2 linked regions of the Nothobranchius furzeri genome follow. The protein of the gene in region 2 purifies or fractionates together with the protein of the main gene of each other region. This does not show direct contact. Links are inferred from orthologs where the notes say so. Each region holds a gene or a part of one and is shown on either strand. Other genes may lie near its edges. The genes, in order: edrf1 and hspbp1.

Region 1 (3,818 bases), about 19 Mb from region 2:
GACGGGCAGACTCTGTCTGCAGGTCGCAGTATTTAAGAGACTTCATCATGGCCTCCGTCACCTCCCGCTCAATCTGCAGACACACAGACACTAGCTTAGCTCACAGCTCTAAAAGTCAATGCACACATTAGTAAAATGTACATAATTGCTGAAAAAAGATGGCCGACTGAAGGATATTGAGTCTCACCTGCTCCTGAGCCTTCCTGGACAGTGGGGCGTAGTCCTGCAGAAGTGTAGCTAGAGTGAAATAGGTCGTGGACAACTCCCAGTTTACACTGTCCCACACTGCTGTGTGACTCTCTCTGCTGGACAGAGACTTCATAGCTCGCAAGTAGTAGTCAATCGCCTGGAGTTCAAGAAAAAAGTCTAAGTGAGAACAGGTATCAGTAGAACTGCAGAACCACAGAGGATATCTGAACCTTATTGTAGTACAGAGCCTCCTCCGGTGAGAACTCCCCTCTGCTCTCGTCAGCAGAGGCTCCGCAGTGGGCCTGAGCACAGATCCTCATCAGCCGGCCTGTGTTACACAGCAGTAAGGCCGTGTTGGTGATGTCTCCGATGGCCTCAAAGTCCTTCATTCCTTTCTCAAAGAAGCCAAAACTCTTCTTCCACAGCTCCTGCTCTGCTGCAGACACGGAACTTCTCACTAGCAATTCAGCACACAGAGAAAAGTGTCACTTTTTAGGAATTTTCCCCTCAAAATAACTAAAAGTCTCCAAATGATGATGTCTGAGAACAAACCCTCTTTCTCCGTCTGCATGGCTGCAGCCTGATTCATATAGTAAACGCCCATCTCGTTGCGGATGTTTCCGAGTCTCTTGAGGACCTGAGAAAGCTGATCTGAGGGTTGATCTTTTGAGTCCTCTGAGATCAGAAGTTCGTGTGCCGCTTCGTAGCATTTGCAGCTAACAAACAGCTGGTATTCAGGATCCATAGCCAGGTCCGTTGCCATATTGAAAGCTAACAAGCAGAAAAATGAAACAAACATTAATTAAACACAGCTTGGTGCTTTTCTAAGCATTCTGGAAAGTGTGTGCTGCAACTGATTTGGCTAAGGTAGTGCACATGGGGGCGGACCCTGGCAGCTGCTCTCTCTGTGCAGGCAGTGCAGGATCTCCTGGTCCTCTTTGGTTTGATAGCTGTATTCCTCCAGGTAAGCAGCTCTGTTGCTGACATTCTGAGCCAACATCAGCTGGATGTCTCCACACAGCGACAGGCACTGGCTGTGAAGTTGCAGCACTTGTGAGTGCAACGTTGCACTAATGGAACAATAAGCATCTGAGGACAAAAACAAAAAGGAGAGCAGATGGAGAAGTACTGTATTTTCACGACCATAGGGTGCACCGTGTTATAGGGCGCAGCTTCAGTTACGGGTGTCTTTTTGGTATTTAACACATACATAAGGCACATTGGATTTTAGGGCGCGAACGCGGTAAAACATACCGGTAAAACATCTGTGCGGGCTCGGGACGGAACATGTCAGTGCAAACCAGACATTGTGAAAATTATAAACAGCCAAAAGCATGCTTCACTTTACTGTCTAGCCCTGGTTCAGACCTGGTTTAGAGCGCACGTGCACTTCCTCATTGCGTGTGCTGACGGCTCGTACTCTTCTAATGGGCTCGACACACGGGAGGCAACTTCGCCTCTCCTCCATTCATTTTCAATGAGACATGCGCGACAAAGCGATAATCGCGGGTCTCCCTCCAACTAAAGCCGGGCGTACACCGGGAGTGCTGCCGGAGGACACACAAGGATTTATGGGGGTTGGATGAGGAAAACGAAATAAAGAAAGTAAATCTGTTTTGTGATCAGGTTAATTTGACATGAACACGACAAACACGCTTTCTTGACAATCTTTGTGAGTAAAAAAATGTGTAGAAAAATAAACGAACAGCGTGTGTTATTAGGGAAATGGAGGGCGAGCGGTGTTGATGCAGGATTGCGCATGCGCCGAGAGCGGTTCCGGTACTTTTTGGGTCGCAGCGCCGCTTCAAGCGCTGATGCGCTGTGTTGAAGTTCAGAATGTGTTTACCGGTAGTTGTTGGATTTAACCACATAAACTTTCCACATGAACAAAATCATATGTGTGTTAGTAATAGGCCTAAGAAAACAGTGTGATCTGAATTGTGTTTTATTAACCCTCTGAGGTCCATGAACGCGTATCTGCGTCTTTTGAACAGGCCTGATTTGGGACGCTGTAGCAGCAAGACTCCGCCTCCCTGAGTTTCGGTTTCAATCCAGATTTAAAAAGGAGATAATAAATACACCCCAGTTTTTAAATTGTGTTAATAGGCAACGTAAAAGCGGAGTTATACTAAACTAAAAACGACCTCTTTTTAGACACTCTGACAACTTGTGTAAACAGCAGTTTAGTAATCCGTGAGAGGGAATGTGCTTGTGAACATAAAAAAACCACAAAATAGGGTTGTCACGGTAACCGGTATAGCGGTAAACCCCGGTAAAAAAGTTGACAATAAAAATAACCGTCCAGTTTTTAAAAAACTATATTATCTCGGTGGGTTTACCGTGGCCGCGGTTTTGGCGCGATGACCCTTACCAGCCACCGTCGCTTCAGCTGAAGTTCCCGCGGCGCGCACACGCACTTTTTAGTTTGCAACGGCACCAAAACTTTGAAGCTGAAATAATGGCCGAAGGAGGAGACGGCAGCGCCCAGGACATCCATCAGCCCTCAAAGAAGACTCAATCGGAAGTATGGGCATATTTGGGATTTCTGAAAAATGCTGAGGGACAGTTAATAGAAGACGGCTATCCCGTTTGCAGAACGTGCAGGAAACAAGAGTCTGCAAAAGGCAGCAACACTTCGAATCTAATGGCACATCTGCATGACCATCACCCACGTCTCTACAGCCAGTGCAAGGTAAGTTGACATTAGCATTTTAGCTTAAATGCATGACGCGAGGACTTTTGGCTGAGGGAGAATGCAACGAGTCACTATATACTGCAGCCGCAGCGTCCTCTGCCAGCATTTACACCGTGTCACGGACACCCTGTTGTTGGATGAAGCATCTTATTTGTTGATGATGAAGAGAAATATACAATTAGTTCCTTGTCATTGATTTGTTTACTTATTCAATGCCATTCATACTTGAACATTTGGATTTGATTACATAGTGTAGTAGTTATTTTAGTAATTTGTTTAAAGTGGCTATTTGTTTTAAATACATATTTTTTAAGGTTGACTTGTACAGTGCTCAAGTCAAGTGTGGACTGGAGTTTTAGATTTTCATTTTGATAATGAAGAAAACAAGTATATGAGAAAACAAGTGGTGTTTCTTTGATTTGTTTTCATATTGTTTATGTTTTGAATGTTTGGATTTGTATAATTTAAACCTGCACTGACTACTGTAACATGTTCCAGAAAAAGAAGCTATTTGTTCCTTTACTTGTGAAAAGTTGCACTTTTGCTAAGGCTTTGTGTTATTTTAGGTTTAATAAACACTGTTAAACCTTTTCAAAACTATTTCAGTTTGGGTAGAACAGGACTATCAATGCTTTCTGAACATATGCAACACCGTTTAAAAAATACCGCGATAATACCGAAAACCGTGATAATTTTGGTCACAATAACCGTGAGGTTAAATTTTCATACCGTGACAACCCTACCACAAAAACATGAGATCCTTTTGCTGTTGGTGGAAGTCTCACATATCCAATTGATAAAAAGTATCATTATGTAGCTGAGAAAGAGAGGAAGCTGCACGAGTAACGAGCTGTGCACAAAAAGGAGCCGCTTCGCGAGGAAAGGAGTGGCACGAACGGAGTAACAACAAACAGTTAGACAGATATTGATGGTA
Region 2 (4,511 bases):
CTCAAAGGCACAGCACACTACAAACCAAAGAGAATCCAACACCTAAAAACTCTGAAATCCAAACATCGAACATGTTAGGGAGAGCAGCGTATGGATACAGACCAGTCTGAATGAGCTGTGCAGGAGGCTTGGCGAAGAAAGCTGAAAGGCTGCGAAGAAATGATGACGTGATTAAAATGGCAACAATCATTCAGGAAATATTTTAGAAGAACATCTCTAGCTTTTATTTTGACACAGCTGTTTCACTCTTGTAATAAACATACAACCAGGTTGGAGACACTTTTTTAACCTAATGAGCCCTACACACCTTTACTTTCAGACACTAATAAATAATAATCTGCTGATTAGAATCAGGTGCACTGGAACAGAGAAACCTCTACTACATGTTGGCCCCTGATGACCAGTACTGGACATCTTTTTTTTTTTCAATTTACACAATAGCATGTCTTCATGTTTGTTCCTACGTGATAAACTTCCTAAACATGTACATAAAGCTATCTTAACCTTCTCTATCAGGCTCGTCTATGCTCATTTCAACTATAATAACGTTTCTGCCTGCAGCAGCTAACATTTAACTCAGGCTAATGGGAACAACTACATGTGATAACTATAGCAAGGTGTTTTTCCCGGCACAATGTAGAGATTAGTTTAGTATAATGTTGATTATCAGGATATAATCAGGGTTAACCATAAAGTCGTCTTTTGTCAAGTCTTCATCCGCATTAGCTGTCGTTAGCTAAACCTCACTGGTAACGTGACCTTGCTCTGCTATCAGACGCGAGAGCATCATCTCCATTGTTCCATTTCTTCAAGCCTTAATAGCTTAATATACAATTCACAAATGAATGATGATACTGAGGCTCCATGAGCGCGCACAGAGGCATAAATAATCACTTAGAAGCAAGACATGAAGTGTTTTACCAGAGAAACATGCACGCAGTCCCATAAGCGCCGCCATCTTGGATGATAAGACAAACCAAGATGATAAAAGTATCAAGAGAGTTCCCTGACTAGCACAAAAAAATTGTCGTCAGCCCCTAATCACATAAATAATAATTATTGTATATTTGTTTTTAAAATCATACTTGTTATTTACGAATATACATTACATGACAGTAATCAGTGAATGAAAAATATTGGAACATATTACAAATACGCTTGTTGGATTAGTTTTCATTTGGTATGCAGAAAATGTTTAAATGTTATAATTTTACAACATGTTTAATATAAAACAAGTGCTTTGGACGTTTTATCTATTTATTCATTCATTTTAGAAATTCATGTAAGAATGAAAACTACTTTTCTTCTCTTGAAAGCTAGGAAATTCCTTTTTAATTATGACTGATACTCTTTGTCAGAAACGTAGCAAGGCGTTGCTATTTTACCGTAATCACTTTAATAGAATGAAGCTTTCGAAAATAAAAAAATCTCCATTTCATCTTTTGAGTTGAACTGTTGCATGAATATAAAACTCTAATAATCTGAGTTAAATGTTGAAATTTATGTAAAGATGAGACCACTAAAATAACTGAAGAGAATTTTAAACACATTTCTACTGCTCGTTGCGTACATGTTTTATGATTAAGATGGCGGTTGACTCATGTTGCTCGAGAGATCAACTACTAGCCAGAATGTTCTAGCCCTTTCGTGGTTAATAGTTATAATCGGCTGTGGGCTCTCAGAGAAACATTGTAGGTTTAAATACTCTCACGGAATCTGAGGACACTTCAACAGTAAGTAATTTTATTCAGAAAAATATCCGTTTTGAGTCTGTAGACAGTTGTACTCAGATAATGCGTGTAGTCCACCATCCCTACACAGCTAAAAGCTACAGTCTCATGGAATAGCCTGATAATTTTAATAAAAAGAGCTCAACAGTAATGGGGTTGAGCTGCTTCTGGGTTACTGCTTACTAGTTATACAGGGAATGTCTAATATTAACGTCACAGCTTGTATAATCTTGTCTTTCTGACATTTCTTTTATGTGTCCAGTTGTTTAGGTCATGTCAGATAACAGACAGAACAGGAGGTACCCCCAGAGCCTTCAGGGGGTTCTGCAACTGGCAGTAGATGCTGGATCAGCTGCAGAGGGTCCTGCTCCTTTAGAGCCCATGTCAGAGGAGGTAAGAGCCTGTGGATTAGGGCACCTCAATCCTGGTCCGCAAGGGTCCATATACAGCAGGTGTTGGCTATTTTTCAGCTCCAACACACCTGATCCATTGATTGAATCACCTGTTCATCATATCTTCAAGTTCATCAGAAGCCATTTTATTCAAACGGGTGTGTTGTTGGAGAGATGCAGTTAAGTGGTCCTCGAGGACCAGGATTGAACAGCACTGTCATAGGGCCATTAGGTTTTATTCTGGTGTCCTTAAGTGGGTGTGTTTATAAACACAATCGTACTGAATGTAGCTTTTGACACAAAAAAATTGAGTTGGAACAAGTTAACCCACCTGTCTTTGTTACAGAGAAAAACCTGGCTGAGAGAAGCTCTTTCAGAGATGTGCAAAGGCCAGCTGGATGAAGTGGAGCAGGTTAAACAGTGCTTGGTTGTCCTACACAGAGAGGAGCCAGATGAAAAGGAGCGAGATGAAGAAGATGATGACGATGAGCGGGAAGCAGCCTTTGAGATGTTGTCTGAGTTGTGTGAGAATTTGGACAATGCTAGAGGTTTGTTATGAGGAGTTGATTAATAGTGCTCAGATCTGAACAATATTCATGCTGATTTATTTCCAAGGATCTCTTTTTTTCTGCACTTCACAGACCTGATGGTTCTCGGAGGACTGGACTTGTGCGTCTCCAGGTATCTGTCTCATGTCCAGAGTGGGCTGAGGTGGCGGGCTGCCCAGCTCATTGCTTCCTGTGCTCAGAACATGCCGCAGGTGCAGGACCACTTACTTAAGATTGAAGTTCTGCCCAAGCTGCTCCAGTTGACAGATGCAGACCCAAACCCCACCGTCAGAGTAAAAGCTCTTTATGCTGTCTCCTGTGAGTTTAGAGACACAACTTCAAGAATAAATCTTCACTGATGCTCGGTGTGTTTGCTTTTTCCTCAGATCACACAGAACTAACATTTTCTGTGTTTCTCTGTAGGTCTGGTACGAGAGCAGGAGGCTGGTCTCCAGGAGTTTGCAGCTCATGATGGCTTCTCAGTTTTGATGAGAGGCATGCAGTCAGAAAACGAGAAGCTCAGGACCAAGTCTGCTTTCCTTCTGCTAAGCCTGTTGACCTCACATCCCGAACATAAAGGTATGAAGGCAAGAGAAGAAAATAATTTGTTCAGAACCACGCCATTTGTGAGCATCATGATTAATTACTGCGATCCGTGATATAAGAATGACATAAATGAGCTAAATCAACACCTGGTAAAAAGAAGAAACTGAGGTGCACTTGTTAGAGGGAGTGTTTGTTTTCATAGAGCAGGACTTAAAATCTATACAGGAACCAGCCACTAGGGGGCTGTCATCCCATTTTTAGCTTATTTTCCATGGTTCTGTTCTTATGTCATATGTTTGTAATATTGAGACCCCTCTTTATGACGATTTAAAGTAAAAAATATATGTTCTGAGTATATTTTAAACAGTAAATGATCTTGTTCCAGATGTTTCTTTCTCTATTTCCATTTTTGTGTGTTCCACCTGGGATTTTCTGAATCATGTTTGGTCTTTTACCAGAAACGGTTGTGTGTATGGGGATGGTGCAGCAGCTGGTGTCTGTTCTCCGCTCACCACACTCATCCTTTCATGAACATGTGCTGGGAGCTCTTTGCTGGTGAGAACCCTCTTCAGCAGCAGCTGTAGTGTTCTATCGTGGTTCTTGTTTTAATGTCCAGCCTTGTTTTTGTGTCTAGTTTGGTGCAAGATTTTCCACAAGGCCTCAAAGAGTGCAGAAATCCCACTCTGGCTCTAGAGGAATTACTCAAGCAGCGTGCCGAAGAACTCCAGGGAAAAGAAGAGAGTCAGGTAAATCAAGTGTTTTTTACCTGGGTTAAAGGTGGTAAAAATATTTGAATACTGTCATTTAGACCAAAGCAGGATGTAGTCTTTTACATACTAAAATATAATAACGACGGAAATTGTTTCATTTGCTGCACTCTGATGTCACACTTTTCTTCTCAACAGGAAGCGCTTGATTTCTGCGATCAGCTGAGAGTTTTGTGTTTCAGCGGGCAGCAATCGGACGATAATGGGATGGATCGCTAAAACAAATGTTATTTTTTTATTTTCACTCATGTTAGCATCAGAACAAAAAAGGTATCAGATCATTCATGAGCCAAATCATGAAAAAGGAGCAACATGTTTGTCTGTTTTGGGACTATTTTCTGTTTATTTTTTGCATGTAATCCAGGAGCTGCATTACACTGTAAATACTGTATAAAGTTACATTTCAAGACTTCCATGTTTGCTCTTTTAAAAGTTTCTTGTAAAAAGAAACATATTCTACATTAACCAGTATGGAGTTTGTACTTTTATTTTCCTGTTAACAGACATCCAGATGTTTATGTGTATAAA

Evidence for each region.
Region 1: the proteins of hspbp1 (region 2) and edrf1 purify together in Homo sapiens (affinity purification with mass spectrometry; 3 studies listed by BioGRID and IntAct, counting the BioPlex papers as one, with this or other methods). This does not show direct contact. The link is inferred for Nothobranchius furzeri from reciprocal best matches to the Homo sapiens genes HSPBP1 and EDRF1.

What each region holds. Positions count from the first base shown.
Region 1 is NC_091752.1:32,218,411-32,222,228, reverse strand, and holds part of edrf1 (erythroid differentiation-related factor 1), read right to left. Parts: intron 1,279-3,818; coding exon 1,078-1,278; intron 961-1,077; coding exon 742-960; intron 647-741; coding exon 420-646; intron 347-419; coding exon 188-346; intron 74-187; coding exon 1-73. UniProt on the Homo sapiens protein: Transcription factor involved in erythroid differentiation. Involved in transcriptional activation of the globin gene.
Region 2 is NC_091752.1:51,237,902-51,242,412, forward strand, and holds the start of hspbp1 (hsp70-binding protein 1), read left to right. Parts: upstream 1-1,587; 5' UTR 1,588-1,733; intron 1,734-1,992; 5' UTR 1,993-2,003; coding exon 2,004-2,123; intron 2,124-2,468; coding exon 2,469-2,670; intron 2,671-2,763; coding exon 2,764-2,988; intron 2,989-3,093; coding exon 3,094-3,249; intron 3,250-3,674; coding exon 3,675-3,771; intron 3,772-3,850; coding exon 3,851-3,962; intron 3,963-4,121; coding exon 4,122-4,202; 3' UTR 4,203-4,511. Other genes in the region: tufm (elongation factor Tu, mitochondrial), read right to left, coding at 1-17, 103-149, 922-958. UniProt on the Homo sapiens protein: Inhibits HSPA1A chaperone activity by changing the conformation of the ATP-binding domain of HSPA1A and interfering with ATP binding. Interferes with ubiquitination mediated by STUB1 and inhibits chaperone-assisted degradation of immature CFTR.